Regions from separate parts of the Mus musculus genome. Here region 1 is reported to be linked to region 2. Evidence: microRNA targets listed by miRTarBase, many of them from high-throughput screens and not tested one by one. Region 2 holds a microRNA gene; the other region holds the end of a gene's coding sequence.

Region 1 (5,209 bases), not on the chromosome of region 2:
TATTCACAGCTGCTTTTTTATTTAATGTAGCTATAATCTGTCTGATTTATTTTTTAGGTGCTGAGGGTCTAAATGGCGGAGAGGAGTCCTTAAACATGAATGATGCAGATGAAGGATTTTCATCAGGGGCTTCTCTTAGCAGCCAACCACATGGGACCAAACCACCCTCCTCTTCTCAGCGGGGAAGCTTGCGGAAAGTAGCAACTGGGCGTTCCGCCAAAGACAAAGAAACAGCATTAGCCATCAAATCCAATGAGAGCCCTCGAGATTCAGTAGTTGGAAAGCAGTTTGTACAACAACAAGCAGATCTCAGCATAGATTCAGTTGAGCTGACACCGATGAAGAAACACTTGAGCCTGCCTGCAGGCCAGGTGGTGCCAAAAACCAATAGTCTGAGTCTAATCCGGACAGCCAGTGCTTCCTCAAGTAAATCTTTTGACTATGTAAATGGCGGTCAAGCAAGTACCAGCATTGGGGTTGGCACTGAGGGAGTTACTAATCTAGCAGCTACAAATGCTAATCGATATTCAACTATCAGTCTACAAGAAGACCGGCTAGGTCACGCTGGTGAAGGTAAAGAGCTCCTCAGCCCAGGAGCCCCCTTAACCAAGCAGTCTCGATCCCCAAGTTTCAATATGCAGCTAATATCCCAGGTGTAGTTCTGATGCCCCTTGTTCTGCTAACCTTCTACACTGAACATTTCATTGTGCAAGACACGTCATCCCGCATTGTGAAAAGATGTCACTGTCATCAGATTTGACTTAGCTTAGGTATCTCATACTGTATTTTGTATGGAAACAGCAATAAGGTTTTCCTTTCCTTTCTTTTAACCTCTCTACCTATTCCCTTAAATGTGTTTGTGAAGCAGTGTAAAACGTTTGCCTTTTCCATGCCTTCCTTTCTCCTTGGGTGATGTGCAATCCATCGTAGGCTGATCGGTCCCATTTCAACACTGTGAGACTGAGGAGATGTCGAGGAAATGGTGTATAAGATCCCTATGAAATGATTCTTTGGCTTTTGTTTAAAAACAAAACGGGTTTGTTCACATAATCTATGAACTATGAAGATAACTGGATCATATGTTTTCTCTCTAACCAGGAGTGCCTCAGAGATTCTGCTATGACTTTGGGCTTCTCTGAGCCTGTGCAATTTTATATTCTTGGGAAGCATGGGGGAAAGTGGTAGACTACTGCAATTTTTTTATTAAAATGAGGCTAACTGCCCCCCTTACTTTATCCCAAGGACACAAATGTTTAATTATTGAGGCATTTAAATCAATTTGTGACCACCTCCATTGGAGGGTAGGGCTCTAAGTTGATTGTGTGATTGATAATGCACTTTCTCAATGGCTCTCTAGTCATTAACAACAGGTCTTCCCTCCTCCCACAAGGACTTAAGGACATTTCTGCCCTTAAAGTTTGAACTAACAAATCAGAGACTCAAAGGGGCGTGTTCTATTTCCCAGGAATGATTGATATTATGGTGCTGGGGCTTTGTTGGGGGAAGGGTGTTGTTTGTTTAGTTTGTGTGAGATTGTAAATGAGGTGAAGTTATAATTGTTTTCTTTCTTCCTTTCCTTTGTGAGTTGGTGATGACTGAAGTAGACACTGTACGTCTTCAGGTAAAGAGAGGGATTTCTCAGTCCACTCTCTGAGATATCAGACTAGAGAAACCCTTTCAGCTGCTTCCTAGATGTACCTAGATTCAGTCAGATATGGGATACAGAAACCTAAAGTCCTGAGATCATATACTCCAAGGAAACACATCAGGGACAGGTGATTGGTTGAAAACACTGATGCTTCTATGTGACACATTTGTATAGAACATTTCTACCAGAGGGTACTGACTTGATTGCTCTACAAGGACCACACTGCCTTTGTGTTTATTGCAGTTTGTGTATCTTCTGATTATCTGCAAAGTTTCTCGTTTTTATAAAACGTTGAAATCATGCCAGTAAACTAGATGTTGAATGTAAATGAGTAGCATTTGGTAACTGCTAAGAGGCTACAAAAATGCATTATTAGTTTAAAGGATTTTTGTTGTGATTTGGTTGGATAAGACTTTCTTATAATCTCTTCTGGGTCTCAGGCTTTGTTTGAAAAAGAAGGGAATATATTAGGATTTTAAAAATCAGTATTGTGTGACTTCAATTGCTATGAATTACCCATCTCAAGAACATCAGTTACACACACCCTTGTACATGTAGACATTTTATGTATTGTGAATGAAAATTACACTGCCTATATAGGAAGCAAGTGTCCTCTTAATTGACAAAGTTGTTTTATCTCTATTTACCGTAAAATTTGATAAATTAAATAGCCAGGAAAACGCCTCTCTTTTTTTTTTCATACATAAACCACCATTTTTGGAGGAGTTGTCTATCTGTCCATCTGTCTGTCTGCATTGTGTTAGAATAATCCTTAATTAGATTTGATAGTTTATAACATTTTTCAGCTCCCAGCAAATAGGGAACTAGAACCTCAGCTATTATCCACATCATTGCCAAACTTTGGAGTAAAACTAAAAGCTGAAATGTGATCTATTGATTGTTTATAATATGCGTATGATATGTGTATCCATTTATCACAGACACATTTTAGCCCTATTTCTACTAATTTAACTAAGAGATATCAAGTAAACTTAAAAGAAAAAAGAATTGTAAAATAGTAAAATAAAATGTTTTTGTAACCTACTGAACAGAGAGGCTTTGTGGTGCATAAGGAAGGTATCAGTCTTAGATGGCAAAGCACGCCTACTTCATGCTGGAGCTCACAGGCGCACATGTAACAGACTGGCATTTAAACCAAGCATTTTAAATAAAGCACAAGAGAATACCAAATAACTTGAAAGTATAGCATAAACTGTTGTAAATATGAGAAAAAATCTTTTGATTAGAAACATCATAACTGAAGAGTTGGTTTAAGAATCAGGAATGGTGGCATACACCTTGAATCCCAGCACTCCAGAGGCAGAAGCAGGTGAATCTCTGAGTTCAAGGCTGGCCTGGTCTACAGATGGAGTTCTAGGACAGCCAGGGCTACACAGAGAAGGCCTGTCTCAGAAAAGAAAAAAAAAAAAAAAAAAAGGTTTTTTTCATCTTTTTGTTGGCATGTGTAGACTTTGTATATACATCCCAAGTAATATTTCACAATCCTGAAACATTTGCTTCATATTCTTTGGGCTATAATTTGGTCTCAATGAACAAGTTCTTCATTTACACTTTATAGCAAGGGTCTTAGAATACATTTTCTGTGTAAGATAACAGTTAAAATGAAATGAATTAAAATTAGACAAACTACCAAGTTTTCTAATGATCATTTCAACCACTTTATGTTACCATCATTGAATTTAAAATGGTTTTTGTTCAGTTATACAGCAGCTGTTAAAAATGTCATAGAAAGTTAGAAATGTCCATAATTTAACCTTTAATAACTTCCCTTTAATATTTCTCAGCTTTCATGAAGCTTCATCGCACTAGTAGAAAAAAAGCATTTAGGGGAAAATATTTGTCTTATATTGATGCCATCTGTACTAGGTTAGATTAAGGACTACAGTATCTGAAGGTTTTAGGAGTTTTTCTATATGACTTTCAGTTAGTTTTACTGGTAAGAAAGCTAAAATATAAAGTAAAAAGTTAACTTACAAGCTAGGGAGGGAAGAGTTGTCATTTAAAATCTTGGTCCTTTGCCAATGCCCCTTTTTTCGCAGCCCACTGTGCTGTGCCTGTTTGTTGCAGATCAGGTTTCTGTGCTAGAAGAGACCCTAGAGATAATTTGGCTCTTCTCTCTGCCATACACACACATTGCATCCTCAGGACACTGAGGCTCAAAGGAGGATGTGAAATAAGGCCCATGACTAAGAAGCAGGGCCATAATCAAACCTTGTCTCTAGTCACGTGCATATTGATGCCTCATTGCCTCTGGTTATCCATACTTTAGTAAATGTGATATGAAACACTTCCATTTCTGCTATTTCTTTATGTTTCTGGTCTAGTAGCTGGTGAACACATTAAGAAAAGTATTAATTCCAGAAGGAAAAAAAAAGTAAAATAATTAATACAGATGGGGATGTGTTCAAAATGTAGGTGTCTGTATAGCACATTATTCTTTTCTAATTTATGCCTTGTGAATTTTCTACCACATAACAGTTATATGCTGCCATGTTATTTGTATTTTGGGGGATTTGTTTAGATGCAAAATAAACCCAATGAAATTTCCTTGATCAGTGTTTCTAACTATTTGAAAGTGATCTTTAATCAGCCAGTTTTCAGTCATCAAAGGTACACTGTAGAAGATTGCAGAGTAAAGATAAACTCAATTCCATTCATTTTTCATCTAGAGAGAAATTGTTCCTTACTCGGCTTAGAGTAGATAAGAGCAATATTCCTCTACGTTACTGAAAAAGAAGAATAGTGAGTGTGAAACTTTGAATCCATGCACAGTGGTCTCTGGGTCATTTATCACATATAGACCAGATAAAAACAACTCAAGTGTGGTAGTCTTAGCTACATAAGCTCAGTATCTCCAGCTGGTAGTCTCGATTCCATTTAGTAGCTTTTACATTCCGTTGCATTTGTCTGCACTGCTTTTGTGAATACCTTAATGCAGTGGTGCGTTTTTCCTACCTCACTTAGGAGGCTTCTTTGGGTCCATTGTTTAGTACTTAAGTTGTTGACAATCAGTGTCTCATTTAATCCACTGTATGTTTATTTATAAATAAAAATACTAGTTTCTGTCTTTATGGGTAGGGTAACATACTGTATAAACACTGGCAAGTGGGACCACTCCATTTCTGAACTTGAATTACATTATAAAGTAAGGTTTTTCTTTTTAATTTAATGAAAAAGTTTAGTATTCCAATGACATAGTTTTTCAATTTAAAGAGATTAATATGTCATGCTAGTGGTCAGAAATTCTACAACATTAGAACGTAGAGCAACTTTTCTGCACTGTGGTTATATCAAGCATTAAAACAGGAGGCTTTTCTCTCTCAAGCAAAATGACCACTGCCGTTGCTTCACCACCAAGTTGTGAGATACTTACTATAATACTTCTAATTTCCTTAAAGTGGTTTCCAAAAATAAGTGACTGAAAACTAGCTACTGGCAGCTTAACCTCTTAAAAATAGAATATTTACCAGATTATATAAACATGGAATATAGTGTAAAAATAAAATAATGAGTCATCAGGTTAGTACAATTTTCCATGCA
Region 2 (5,240 bases):
GCGAGTGGAGCCAGAGTTAAGAACACACACTGCTCTTCAAGAGGACCCACATCCACCTCTGGTCTCCTTGGACATCAGTATTCATGTGCACATAAATTATTATTTTTTTATTAAAAGGTTGCTTTGAAACAATTTATAAAGCTTACTGTTGGGTTTGAGTACTTGAAGAAGATATGTATAATGGTTTTAGTAAAACAAAAACAATGTACTATCTAAGGTTTCCAGGTGATGTTTTGAGATTTGTACATTGTGTCAAGTCGGGCTATGTATGCCTCAAGCATTTATCATAATGGTCCTTGTAGCTATTTGAAATGAAACAAAAGTGTGGTGGTGTGGTTGCCACCTGCCTGTGTAATGGCACATCTGAGCCTCTTGAAATGTTCAGTGACCATTGGGAGACGGTTTGCCTTTCTTCATTACAAATGCACAGTGTCTCCCTTTCTTGACTTACTGTTTTGTTTATGTGTGTGGTGCTAACAGAGGCCTCTAGGTCCTCTGGAGCTTCAGAGTTGTGAGCTGCTGGTGTGAGTGCTTAAAGACCAAATCCAACCTCTGGAAGAGCCGCAGTTAATTCTGTGGTATTCAATCTTGATGCCCACATATTTTACTTTGAATTATTAGGAGCATAGTATGTCTAGGGTTAAGAACACTGCTGGGTGGGGCATGGTGACTCACATCTATGATATCAGCACTTGGGAGGCAGAGGCAGGTAAATGGATCTCTGAGTTCCAGGCCAATCCAGGATACATGGTGAAGCAGTCTTTTATCTTTTTGAGACGGAGTCTCACAATGTAGCTCTGGCTGTCCTGAAACAATATAGACCAGGCTGGCCTTGAACTTCCTTCTGCCTCCCAGTTGCTGGAATTAAAGGTATATATTACCGTGCCCAGCATAATCCTGTCTTAAAAGTAAATAACCATTGTAACTACAGCTGGATTTTGTGGTACTGGTGGTATCTTCTGGGGTAACTGGCTTTTACTGTGTTCCTGGAAACAGCCAATTTTTTGTTTGTTTGTTTTTTGAGACAGGGTTTCTCTGTATAGCCCTGGCTGTCCTGGAGCTCACTTTGTAGACCAGGCTGGCCTCAAACTCAGAAATCCGCCTGTCTCTGCCTCCCGAGTGCTGGGATTGAAGGCGTGCACCACCACACCCAGCGTAACAGCCAATAATTTATAGGCTTAATTTTGAAGTGGATTTTATTCTCCTGACCTAAACCTTTTTTTTTTTCCCTATAATCTCATAATTCTTTGACTGCTTTTACATTTTATAGACTTAAATCTTTTGGGTTAATTTTTCCACAATTGTGTCTATGTTAAAAATAACCTCTGCAAGGTTGTAAATGTGTTTGACCATGCCCCTTGCCAGTCTCTATATGGTAGAACTGTAAAGATACCGTGTCATTGTGACATTTTCATACGTGTGTGTGGTATACTGTGATGCATCACCATTTTTCTCATTTCCATTCTGTACCTTGATTGTATGGATTGCTTTTGTTTTGAGACAGGATCATCTTTTGTAGCTTGGCTGATCTCTGTTCAAATCAGCCAAGCTACATAATGAGAGAAAACAAAACTTGAGAAAGAGAAAACTTGCCTCTGTCCAAGTGCTGGGATTAAAGGTGTGGGCCACCACCGTCCAGCAATCTTACTTGACAGAGTAGAACTTTTAAAGGGTTCGTTTTGCTTTCTTTCTTATTTCTGTCTTCTGGTTGAGCTTTACACGCCTTTGGGGTATATAGGTCAGTCACATGTTGGAGACTGTTCAAGGTGCAACCTTTTTAGGACGTACCTCGAAGTTGTCATGAAGTGTTGGGTTACGTTGAGGGATCTTGTACCTAGATCCCTCTTTGCTGCTTCAATGATGAGTGTACCTTGATATATTGTGTACTGTGGGGCAGTGGGCCGTGAAAGGTAGCCTGGTGGTCCCCTTTGAGCTAAGGCTACCTTTGATAGTCCACTGCCCCACGGTGCATGCATTGGTGTTTTTCGGTAGGTCTCCCTGTCCTGGAGTTTCTGTTGTGGCTATAGGATGGATGCCAAGCAGTGGGTCTTGAGCCCCATGCCCCTTTCTACTTTCTAGCCATTCCCACTTGGATCCCAGTCATTGGGTTGGGATGTTTATGTCTTTTAGTCTTTAAAAATGCTTGTCATTGTGGTGTAGTAGTGTATATGTTTTATGTAACTGTCAATAGATGCCTGACAGGAGCATCTTAGGGGAGGAGAGGTTCATTTTGGCCCAGTTTCAGGGTTATGGTCTGCCAGAGTGAGAAAGGAACAGAGGTGAGGGCTGTTTTGGCAGCAGGAGGAGTTAATTACCAAGTAATGGCTTGGGAGGAAGGAGGAGCAGAGAGAGATAGGAAGCAAAGAAGATATAAGCATCAAAGGCCTGACCCTGTGATTCAACTGCCAGCTGCCATGTCTCACTGCCTCTCAAAACACCAGTTAGGACCACCTATTGAGCCATGGACGTGGGGATAACGTCCATATGGGTGGTGGTAAGTACCATAAGGCGAGGACTGGGAACATGGCTAAGTGGCAGAGCTGCTCCTAGCATACCAAAAGGTGTCACAGGAAGATGGAAACCACCAAGATAACCTCAAAAACAAGCAGAGGAAGTGAAAAGCATCCACCATGAGACCACCAGAGACAACAGGAATGGTGGGAGCAGAAGGAAGATGGCCAGAGAGCTACAAGTGAAGATGAGAGATGGAAAGCAAAAATAAATAGAATATTCAGAGTGAAAAGAGAAATGAATTTAAGACAGCCAGTCGGAAAGGGGGTGGGGGGCATATCCTAGTGGGTTGTACTCCGGTATGAAATTCTTAGAACAATGTGCTGCAGGCAGTACTCCAGTTACTGACCAGCGTGCTACATTCCTATACTGTACTCAATAAACTGTAAACAAATATACCACCTCCTGATGTGTCGCACAGTCCCTTCTGTGGTGGTCTAACACGGGTGAGTTAACTCTTGCCAGTCTTAACGATCCCTCCTTATCCTTTGGGCTGCTGGCAAGAGTAAAAGCTAGGTAACGTTCACCCTGCTGTTGTAGCCATTTATTTGATCAGTACAAGTGGTGTAACCAGGGCTGTCCCTGTTCTCAGAGTACTGAAGTTCCTTGTGACAGGTGCCCTTAGAGAAGTGCATGTTGGGAAGGGAGATAAAGGACCAAGGGTATCATAGTAGGGCCTTGTGCTTCCATTACCCACATCTGTAGGTGGTTTTTCAAATTATCAGTGTGTCGGTGGGTTTGTTTGTGCACAGGAGTGTAGTGGCCACAGAGGTCAGAAATGGGGGGGGGGCAGAGGGGGTTCAAGACAGGGTTTCTCAGTTCCTGGCTGTCCTTGAACTCAGAAATCCCCCTGCCTCTGCCTCCCAAGTGCTGGGAATAAAGGTGCGCGCCACCACTGCCTGGCTCAGAAATAGGTGTTTTATCTCCTAGAGTCAGGCTGGAGAGATGGCTCTGGTTAAGAGGACTGTTTCCTCTTCCAGAGGTCCTGAGTTCAGTTCCCAGGAATCACAGCCACATGGTGGCTCACAACCATCTATAATGGGACCTGATATCCTCTTCTGTATGTCTGAAGACAGCTACATTGTAGTCATACATGAGATAATTTTTTTTAAGTGGGTTGAGCTGCTATGTGGGTGATGAGCCAAATTCAGCTCCTCTACAAGAGCAGCAGTTACTCTTAACTGCTCAGCCATCTCTGCAGCCCCTCCCACTGTATTCTGTGATTGTGCATGGAATTCAGGGTCTCTGTCGTCTCAGTGTGCAGCAAGAGTGAATTGACCTTGTGATCCTCATTGCTGCACTCTGCTTTTACACCAAGAAACAACAGTCTACAGCTCCCAGTGTAGCCAGATGGACGGCTGCTGCTGCTCCTGGCTGCTGCATCCTCTGCTTGTTTCGTCTCCAGTGTCTCTTTCGCTGACTCTGTGGGCTCTGTAGGCCCATGGCTGATGTACTTTTCTCACCCGTCTTCATAAGACAGTCAGTCTCTGGGTGTCTCTTCTCATGCACAGTCATGAATGTGTGTTTCCCCATCCCCAACCTCATTAAGTAGTAGTTCTCAGTCTCCAGTCTGAGCTGCTGGAAGCTGGAAGGTTGCTTTGAATCCCCATCTGTTGTTCTTTTTGGATGGTCATACCAGCTGTGCTGAGACTCACTATGTGGCAGAGGTAAGCTTTGAATTCCCATTCCTGCCTCCACCTCCAACCAGCTGGCATTATGATGCACACCACTACAACTGACCTCTCTTACATACATTGATGTACAGATAGGTGTTTGTGGTGTGTGTGTGTGTGTGTGTGTGTGTGTGTGTGTGTGTGTGTGTGTGGTATACCAACAGAGATTCACTGTGTAGCCCTGGAAATTGTTATGTAGTACAGGCTGGCCTTGAATGCACAGAGATTCAAATAGCTGTAATTAAGGCATTCACCACCATACACCCAGGCTTTTGGGGGTTGGAGGGTTGCATGAGGGAAAGGTACAATGCATTCCTGAAAGCCAGTATCGATAGAGGCCAGAAGAGGGCGTTGGATCCTCTTGGAGCTAGGGTTACAGGTAGTTGTGAGCCTCCAAGCTCTGAGCTTCTGAGAAATGAACCGGGGAAGGACCCTGTAAGAGCAGTCAGCACTCTTAGCTGCTGAGCCACCATCCTTCCAGCCTGTCTCAGAGGTTTCCTTAAAACAGAATCTTAAGGATTGTCTTTGTAGGACTTGAGTTTCCAAGTTTATCTCAGGGTAGGAGGAGGTATGCAGAACACTAGAAATCAGAAACCAGCACTTTAAAAATAGGACTGTGGGTATGTGAGGCTTTTGAAATGAGATTATTTGCTTAAGCTACCTAGAAACACTAGAACATTTCTGTCTTCGGCCTGAGTGGCAGATGGCCCTGCGTCAGAAGCACAGCATAAAGTGATTTGCCGTTTCCACCAATTGCTCAGTTTGGTGCTGGGATCCCGGGGCACAGCTGGCATAATGAACTAGCTTACATCAGTACTCCATGCAGAAGGAAGAATCCCTGAAGACGGTAAGTGAATGCAGAGGAGTCAAGAGCAGTGATACCGAAGCTGCTGCTGAGAGAGGAGTTGCATAGCCCCGAGCTTTCACTGTGCCAGACACTTTGTGTGGCATACTTTAGTTGCGAATCAGCTTGATTCAGAGCAGTGAAGGGCCTGCTACAAGAGCATTCTCAGGGAGACCTTGGCTTTCAAGCGCCCCTACCTTTGCTGGAATTAT

The links. Region 2 holds the annotated microRNA mmu-miR-3061-3p (CUACCUUUGAUAGUCCACUGCC, at 1,940-1,961, shown strand). A microRNA usually pairs through its seed, bases 2 to 8, with sites in the 3' UTR of a target mRNA and lowers its output. Matches are read on the target gene's strand: a 7mer-m8 pairs with bases 2 to 8, a 7mer-A1 pairs with bases 2 to 7 and ends in A, and an 8mer does both.
Region 1: miRTarBase lists Fam126b as a target of mmu-miR-3061-3p. Seed matches in the 3' UTR shown: 7mer-m8 at 4,276-4,282.

Annotation. Positions count from the first base shown.
Region 1 is chr1:58,525,108-58,530,316 of GRCm38, reverse strand. Fam126b (family with sequence similarity 126, member B) reads left to right here. Exons shown (of 13, transcript NM_001310598.1): 13 at 58-5,209. The coding sequence ends at 659. The region is part of intron 2 of Gm15834 (a long non-coding RNA gene); the gene reads right to left. Among named protein-coding and RNA genes, the nearest start is that of Gm15834, 23 kb to the right of the region's middle.
Region 2 is chr11:52,124,865-52,130,104 of GRCm38, forward strand. It overlaps Mir3061 (microRNA 3061), which reads left to right and starts at 1,882; the gene lies at 1,882-1,972.